2 linked regions of the Schizosaccharomyces pombe genome follow. The protein of the gene in region 2 purifies or fractionates together with the protein of the main gene of each other region. This does not show direct contact. Each region holds a gene or a part of one and is shown on either strand. Other genes may lie near its edges.

The links. Proteins that work in one complex are often made in the same cells at the same time.
Region 1: the proteins of rhp6 (region 2) and brl1 purify together in Schizosaccharomyces pombe (affinity purification with mass spectrometry, with the first as the bait; 2 studies listed by BioGRID). This does not show direct contact.

What each region holds. Positions count from the first base shown.
Region 1 is NC_003421.2:2,237,811-2,242,654, reverse strand, and holds brl1 (histone H2B-K119 ubiquitin ligase complex (HULC) subunit, ubiquitin-protein ligase E3 Brl1), read right to left. Parts: upstream 2,809-4,844; 5' UTR 2,681-2,808; coding exon 602-2,680; 3' UTR 501-601; downstream 1-500. Other genes in the region: pep3 (ubiquitin-protein ligase E3), read right to left, coding at 1-150; transcription factor TFIIIB complex subunit Bdp1, read left to right, coding at 3,369-3,399, 3,445-3,936, 3,987-4,636, 4,675-4,822. UniProt on the Schizosaccharomyces pombe protein: E3 ubiquitin-protein ligase which belongs to the histone H2B ubiquitin ligase complex (HULC) which mediates monoubiquitination of histone H2B to form H2BK123ub1.
Region 2 is NC_003424.3:303,634-307,262, reverse strand, and holds rhp6 (ubiquitin-conjugating enzyme E2 2), read right to left. Parts: upstream 1,658-3,629; 5' UTR 1,541-1,657; coding exon 1,499-1,540; exon of another isoform or gene 1,452-1,498; coding exon 1,387-1,451; exon of another isoform or gene 1,207-1,386; intron 1,174-1,206; coding exon 1,053-1,173; intron 948-1,052; coding exon 844-947; intron 796-843; coding exon 672-795; 3' UTR 501-671; downstream 1-500. Other genes in the region: U3 snoRNP-associated protein Lcp5, read left to right, coding at 1-299; protein pat10, read right to left, coding at 2,234-2,263, 2,308-2,344, 2,403-2,492, 2,532-2,589, 2,728-2,800; SPOM_SPAC18B11.09C (serine O-acetyltransferase activity), read right to left, coding at 3,244-3,411, 3,470-3,547, 3,623-3,629.

The sequences.
Region 1 (4,844 bases), on a different chromosome or scaffold from region 2:
AACAGGGAACTGCAGTTGCACCTTCTCTAAGGAAAATACACCTCTTTGCTCCTTTTCGGGATTATCAGCTGTGTATTCCAATTCCGCATCTTCTTGAATATCTGAATCTTCAGAAGAATTAGGATCAATCCAATCCTCGGCCAGACTCATTGTTCAATGGGATTGCACGCGTATCAATAGAAAATGAGATGAATTATTATAATTCCGCTGCCAATATAAATTAATTTACCAATATTTAAAAAAATAATTAATAGTAATTAATTGTTTCCTATTTCGCTAGTTACAGTCGCTACAGATACACACCCTCTATTTTTGGCACATGGATAATGGAGAGTGAGTCATGATGCTAGACTTGCGAAACTAGCATATGAATGAACGAAGTTGCTTAATGGAATAAGTTAATCAAATTGATAGATATTACTAGTTTTTTATTAAAAAAAGCATACATATTTATATGTAAATAAATAAATAAATATATATATATATATATATATATGTATATAGGATTGACTATTCTTTCAATAACTATTGATGCCAAAAAATATATTATGTACCAAAATAACAAAAACATTACGTTAATCATATAAAAGATGATCTAGAATTAAAGATGAATGGTCAAAATGTCGGAAACCGAAAAAGGTGTTTCACACTGCGGACATGTACTTGTTTTATGCTCATAAAAAGGTTCCATACAATTAGAACAAAAGGCATGACCACAGTTTGGAATGAGTTTAGATTTCCAATTAGAAAAGTTGCACACGGAGCATTTTAACATTCCTTTGTATACTTGAGCCTCTTGTGTTTCATATGCCTGGTTTATAAGATGAGACTCTTTCTTATTATACGAAGCTTTTATGGATAAAATAGTATGCTCTTCTTGCAAATGAAACAACTTCTGATGCATGATCATAAGCTTTTCCCCAGATTTTTGAACAGACTCTATAAGATCTTCAAGTTTTTGAGTAAGTTTTGTTTGCTTAACTTGTAAGTGCTTATCTTCTGTTAAAACTTCGACCGAGTGTTTCCCGTAGATTTCCTTTATTTGTTTATAAACTTCCAATTCAGCTTTTAAAGAGGATTCATATTTTGTTAGCGCATGTTCTCGCTCTTGCAACTTCCCTATATAATCATGTTCTTTATTTTCGGCCAGTTTAAGAGTTTTCTTCTCTGTCATAAGAATGTCCCGAGCTTTCATGGCAGCAAAATATTTTTGGGTGGCACGAGCCTTTTCATAATGCATTTCCAAAGCTTTTTTCTCCTTCGTTTCAAGTTCTTCATATTTCTTCAACAAACGAGATTGTGATTGATCAAATGCTGCATACATACTTGGGAGTTCAGCCTCCAAACAACTATTATTTTTTATTAGTTTTTCCAAAGCTGAAGACGCAGAAATTTCTTCTTTTTCATCTAGGACATTATTCATCTCACCAGTCTTAGACCTTTCAATACGATCCCATATGCACAATCGATTTGAATAACCTTCTAGAATTGCAACCCGAGCGTTTGACAAGTTGCTTAATAAAAGCATCATATCGTCAAAAAATAGATTGTTAGTATATTGCATTTGTTGTTTCGCCACTAGAGAGTCTCGTTCGTTACGAATTTGGGTTAAAGATGATTCAAGGGTTTTAATAAGTTGTTGTTTCTCTTTTACACATGCCAATTTTAAATCAATAATATCCTTCTGTCGTTTCGTCCGTTGAGAAATAAAAAACTGAATGTCCTCAAACAATGAAGAGAGGTCCCGATTAATGGATTCGATTTTCTCTTCATTTGAAGAAAGAACCCCCTTCAGCTCTAAATAATGGGGCTCTCTACTCACTCTTTCATCCGTTATACCCATAATGTCGACGTACAATTGTGCTGCACGAGTTGATTTTTGAGAAAGTTCATCCAATTTGGAATTTATATTTGCTTGCATCAAATCAGCTTGAGATTGAAAATTGTTTTTTAGTTTTGAAATATTATCATTATCATTTAAACATCCTTCCCCATTTTCGAGAATTGCTTTTGGTTCCGAAGCAGGGATATCATCAGCGATATTTTCAATACTTCTTTCGGAAGCACTAGTAAGCTGATCTTGCTGCACCCGTTTCCATTCTAATTCAGCTGAATTCAAAGCTTCACGAAAGAAGGAAAGTTTCCTTTTTAGGAGTGCCAACTTAAGTTGGCTAGTACGGTAATTAATCATACTTGTAAAATGAACCTGGCGTTGGTCTATCCATTCATGGACGTTTGGAGTTTCTTTTAATTTAAAAGAACCAAATTTAGCTAACTTTTGTAGAGTAGGTTCATGGGCTTGAAAATAGGAAGCATACTTATTCAAATAGTTTTGCGCATCTTTGATTAAACTGAACTCAGCAAGTGACAAATCTAGTGTCTGTAAATTATCATCAGGTTGATATAAAGAAGCAGTGATTTTCTCTAGTTCTTCAAATGATTGTTCATGATTTTCCAGAGCAGCAGCAACGTAATGATCAAGTTTCAAAACTAGAGATTCCCAATACTCGTATAATTTCTTTTCCAAAACAGTGAGATGCTCATACTCTCTAGATCTTCGCCAAGCTGCTTCCTTTTGAAATAACTCTAAGTCATCTTCTTCTCCGAGGTCTAAACGACGCGTTTCTTTTTCGCTGTGAATAAGACGTCTTCTTTTCCTCGATTCATTCACAACGCTCATTCCACTTCAAAAAAATTCCTTTTCTATTTTATAATTAAAATAAAGTACTTAGGATCAAAATATGTGCTCATTAACATTCACTAAGCCAATTCCTACGGTTAATGAGTTTTTTCAGGTTATCTGTACATGGTAGTCATGTCTCGTTAGTGAGTCAAATAGATTCCTCGCTATAATAATATGTTTCTTTACCTTAGTTATGCCTGTCTTTAAAGTCGCCTACGAAGTAGTAATTTGTATAATATAATTAATATTGGCAATGACAAAATAAACATTAGCTAACGACAATGGCTTCTTCAATTCCTTCGGTGGTTATCTAAATTGCTGAATTTATTCTACTATTCATATTAGTGTAAAGTATTTTCTTGCTTTATCTGTAAACTATAGCTTACATTTCCAGCGTTTTATAATAACTAAGTTTGTTCGAGGCTGACCCTGATTATTTCTACCTTTAGTTAATTTTATATCTTACTCAATCATTGCGACTATAAAACTTTTTACACATATATATTAATCTATTCAGACGGGCTTGCTTGGTTTCGTTGTACAGTTATACCCAGGATATAACCTCTTTATTAAAATATTACTGGTTCATGGACAACAGGCAAATGTTTGTACAAACATATGCGCACTGCCACATAATTTTTGAAATTCATGCAATTGAGTCGAAGTTACAGTCTAAACAGACTCAATGAGCTCGCAAATATTAACCTCACCTACAAGTACGTTTTTTTAAGTAGTAGGGCTTTCCACTAATGTTTTACCAGAAAAATCAATGTCAAGGTTTGCCCCTAAATTTACAGCCCGTAGAGAGAAAGTATCGGACCAAAAAGAGGTTGTTCATGAAGAAAAAAATCAACCCCTCACAGGAAACGAAGTAGAAACATCCGCTCAGCTGTCTCGTGATACTGCCAATGCTGATATTTCTAGTCCGGTTGTGCAAACAGTAGTTCACAAAGAGGCAACTGAAAATCCCACAGCTTCATCCTATAGAAAAGATGATTCAGTGAAACAAAATGAAAAACTTTTGCATTCAAATCCTACTTTTAAAATTTCTAAGCCAACGGTTCTTGAGCAGCCGTTAAATGCTATTGAGCATTTGTCGCCTGAAACCGATTTATCCTCTTCAGCCGAACAGCAATTTATGAAGGAATTAGATTTGTTTTTTGATGAGAACATTCCCCTTTCTCAGCTCAGTGCTGTTAGTGACGGAAAGGCGGATTCTCCGGCTACAAAAAAGTCTCGCCGTTCATATAGAGGTACGTAAATAAAGGGTTAATCTAAAATGCATTATTTAATAACATCATAGAATCTTCTTTGAAAAGAAAAAGTCAATTGATATTGGAAAACGTGGGTACCGACGAGAAAATCATTAACATAAGTGAAACCAAAATGTCTGCTTTATGTGATGATCCTGGAATTGGCCGCAAAAGTCAACGATTTATCGAATTAGAAAAAATGCTTTTTGAGGAAAAACGAGCAAAGAGGATTAAAAAACAAGGAGCAAGTACTGCAAGCTCTAGTCGAGAAGCGTCTTTAGATTCTACCATCAAACAGCCTTTGAGTGCCAGTCTTCTAGAATCAAGCGAACCGAAAGAGAAAGAAGAAATAGTAGGAAGTTTGGAAGAAGAGGGTACGGATGAGTCTGCTTCTCTCGAAGATAGTCTCTCTCACCCAACAAAGTCTATTCTTGATCAGTTAGCAGATAAAATGGAAGTTGATGGTTTGAATAACAACTCCAATTACTCTGCAACTCCTCGTACGCGAGTTGTTAATGGCCAAATTGTTCTGGATGAAACCTCACTAGAAGTCGACCGTCATGAACGTGATTTTGTACCAGCAGAGGAACGCGAATACGTTGAAGAAAATTCTTTAAGTCGTCGGGTTACAAGTGCTACTTGGGGAAATAGGCAGAAACCTGAGAAATGGAACGCTATGGATACTGAAAAATTTTATAAGGTATGGAGGAATTGCGCTCGTATTTACTGACATGGCAGGCTCTATCACAGTGGGGAACTGATTTTGCTTTAATTGCTAATATGTTTCCAACTCGTAATCGTCGACAGATAAAACTAAAGTTTAAACAAGAAGAAAGAAGAAATCCTGCACGTGTTAATCAAGCTTTGAAAATTAAAAAACCTATTGGTAAGACATTGTGTGAGTACTC
Region 2 (3,629 bases):
TGCAAAAAATGCGTGAGAGGATAGAGTATGAGGAAAGTAATTATACTCGCCTTCCTAAATTATCGAAGAAAGATTTAAAGAAATCTAAACGTGTAAAGAAACACGATTATGGTGGTGAAGACTGGTCATTGCTTGATCGCAAATTCCATGACGATGACTTTTCAAATCGTAAATTAGACCTGACTTCTAGAGCTAAGAGACGTGCTAATTTTGAAGACGTTAACGATGGCTCATTAGCTTCACCTGTTCAAATTGGCCAGTCATATCGTAAAAGAAAGAAGAATTTGAAACGTCGTTAATCATTATTTTGGGAACAGCCGTTGAGGTTTACTTAAAAAAATTGACCATATGTATTTAAAAAAATGGAGTTTTTGCGCTTGGTTTGGTATTTTTGTGTGGTTTAGGGCAGGTTATGTTTAATAAGATCAATATAAATTTTGCATGTACATGTCTGTATATGTGATTAGTCGCACATTAATATAGTTTACAAGTTCTAAACATAAGGAAGAAATCATTCATTCGTAGATGTAAACAAAAAAATCTTAATGATTTACTATAGTTACAATTTTGGCAACTTTGAAGCACTTAAATAGATTTAATGTGAAAGGCGGTTGAAAAAGAAGAGTAAGTTCTAATGAAATAGGGATTATTAAGACAGCTATGTCTTGAAATCAACTTTCCCAGGAGTCTTCTACAGTTTTTCGTACTCGACGCACATACTCCTTCTTGTTTTCACGATGCAGCTGAGCAGCTTCGGCATTTGCAGGGGACGCATTATTTGGATCATTAAGTAAGCTAAAAGTTAGTTATGAGAAATTTAAGTAATATTTCTGAAAAGCAAACCTTTGAATAGAGGTAAGAATTGCTGCCACATCGTAAGTTGGAGACCACCTGTTTTGCAGAATGTCCAAGCAAAGTTCGCCATTTGCGTACACATTTGGATGGAACTAAAGCCAATAAGTAAGTAAACAAAAAAAACCAAGAAAAAAGTAAATTACAACAAATCAAATAATCTAATTTAAGACTTGTCTAAATACAATGACTAAGCATACCATTGTGGAGACGAATTTTACAAGAGGAGGTTTATTAGGATATTGTTCATCAAAAGAAAGAACCAACTTAAAAGTTCCATCTTCAAATGGAGTGTCTGCTGGGCCAATGATAACAGCATTCCTGCTCAAATGGTTAGTCCAACATCAATAATAAAAAACAAAAGCAATCAATCCAGAAACCAACAAGCATAAAAAGATCGCTTCTTGTAAGAATTTTGAAACGATCTCCTTCCTAAATATATGGCAAAAAAGGCATTCAATATATAGCACATATATTCACCATTACGTTGCATAACAATAAGAGAAAAATGAATTGACATAGGTAAACACTTACCAAAGCATTACATTGTCAGAGACAGGGGAAGCTGAAACTCCAGCAGGAGGATCTTGCTGCATCCTCTAAGAATTGGTTAATATAAGTCTTCTCGGATCCACAACTGCCGTACCTTAAAATCTCGCATGAGACGTCTTCTTGCGGTCGTTGACATTTTTATAGCAACCTCTCTTCTATTTGTGATAACTTTAAAAAAAAGTTGCACAAATATCGATATCGCCTTGGAATTACACCGAGTTAGGATATCCGATTTGCGTTGTTGGAGAAGGGCAGGGAACAATAGTAGGACCATTCACTCATATGCAGTATTTCATTATTAATGGGGCGCACCCAACACGTTAAAATAATAAAGTGCACGCTCAGTTACCTTATAACTAGACCAACCTTTTAGTAATGTTCAGCATTTGCAATGCAAGTCTGCTTTAGTATTAATGAACTACTACTTCATTTAAATTATAGTTAAAGATAAGGAAAGTTGATATTTTTCATTCAACCATTAATCATAATCAAGGTCCGTGCATTTGTTAACGGTAAACTGTTGAACATGTGAAAATTATATATATTTACTTTAAGCCTTTGTTCTCATTGGGTTTAAAAAAGCAACTAAAATACATTAGGAAGAAAAAATGAAAGAGCAACAGGATGTAAGAAATAAATTTACATTTTCACTAGCTTAACAATGAGAAAACACAAACAGCCAATTTTTTACGCGTCTGCTACGTGATTGAAATGGTAGTTAGAAATGTATCTGAACTCTTCACCATTAGATATTTACATTGTGCATAAATTTAATTATCCAGAAAAAAATCAGCTTAATACTCTTATTAATTCACTGACTTAAAAATTACTAAGTTTTGTTTGGAGTATTTAAAAATTGCTGCACAAGTTAATCGACAAAGTAAATATAAAAATTCAACTTACCGGTAAATATGTTGACACAAGAGCCGCGATACCCATACTGATCAAATGTTAACATCCATAGAACTACATTAATGCAATGAATTAGGATTACTTACAAAGCCATTGAAGTCGGAGATGAGCTGGGAGACGTATTTGCGTTCAGTAAATTTGAAAAGGTTAGGATAAAAGCAACCCATGCAATTAATCTTCTCGTTAACATGAAAATCCTAAAATATCTTACATACTTGAAACGAAGAAATAAAGCAGCCATACACGTGGCTGTGCTTACCAAACTCAAGCCAACTATAATAGGGTTAGCAAACTTAATAAATTATTTGACGAAAGAAAGGATTTAAAATATTCCACAATGAACTAAAGCTTGAGCGATTAAATCAGCGTAACTCACGATTGGGTTCAATTTGAAAGTGCTTTCTACTTTACCTTCTTCATTTGCTTTGACTCTAGCTTTGTAGGGAACGATTAAATCAGGTCGTTTAAGTTCTGCAGGCGCCATATTTTATGAATTTTCGTTGTCGAGACTTCAGAACTGGTGAATGGGATGGTTCCTCTACAAGAATATAATGAAGTTAGTAATAAAATGTGTAAAATGGTTTTAGGTTAGGTTATTTAGCATTCAAATATATCGTGGGGGTTAAGAGTTCTTATCCCACTAAGAATTTCAACTATTTTAGACTTGGCTAAGCATTAGAATTAAAATCGATTGCAGTACCACGTGGGGGCTTTAGCAAGTCATAGGAGGAAACTGATCCTACTTGGCGAGTGAGAAATGGATTTCTTTTAGCATTCTAAGTCTTCTATATAACAATTTAAAGCTCAAACATAATATAATATTATTTATACTATTTTAAAAATTTAGGAACCAAGCCAGGTGAACTTAAGAAGTTCAAAGAGCATTTAATCGTTAGATGAAATAATAAAAAAAAAAATTACACTCGTTCACTCGTTTTCAATTTTACGAATAGGTTTGGCAGGTGATCCTACAGCCAACGTATTAGGTGGGATGTCTTTTGTAACAACAGCACCCGCTCCAATTACACTGCCTTCCCCGATAGTAACACCTGGGAGAACTATAACTCCCATACCAATCCAAACATTGTCCTGAATCTTGATAAAATTTTGTTTGTTAGTTGTAAGATGTTTCAATAACTGGACTAACGCATACGTTAATTGGTAAACCAAATTCAATTCCGGAGTTCCTTGCTTTAAAATCCAAGGGATGTGTTGCTGTACATAGTTGAACCTGGAAAGACACCATTAGTATATTTATTTTTTGAATGAATGACTTGAAAGTAACTATATATATATATAAACATACATTGGGG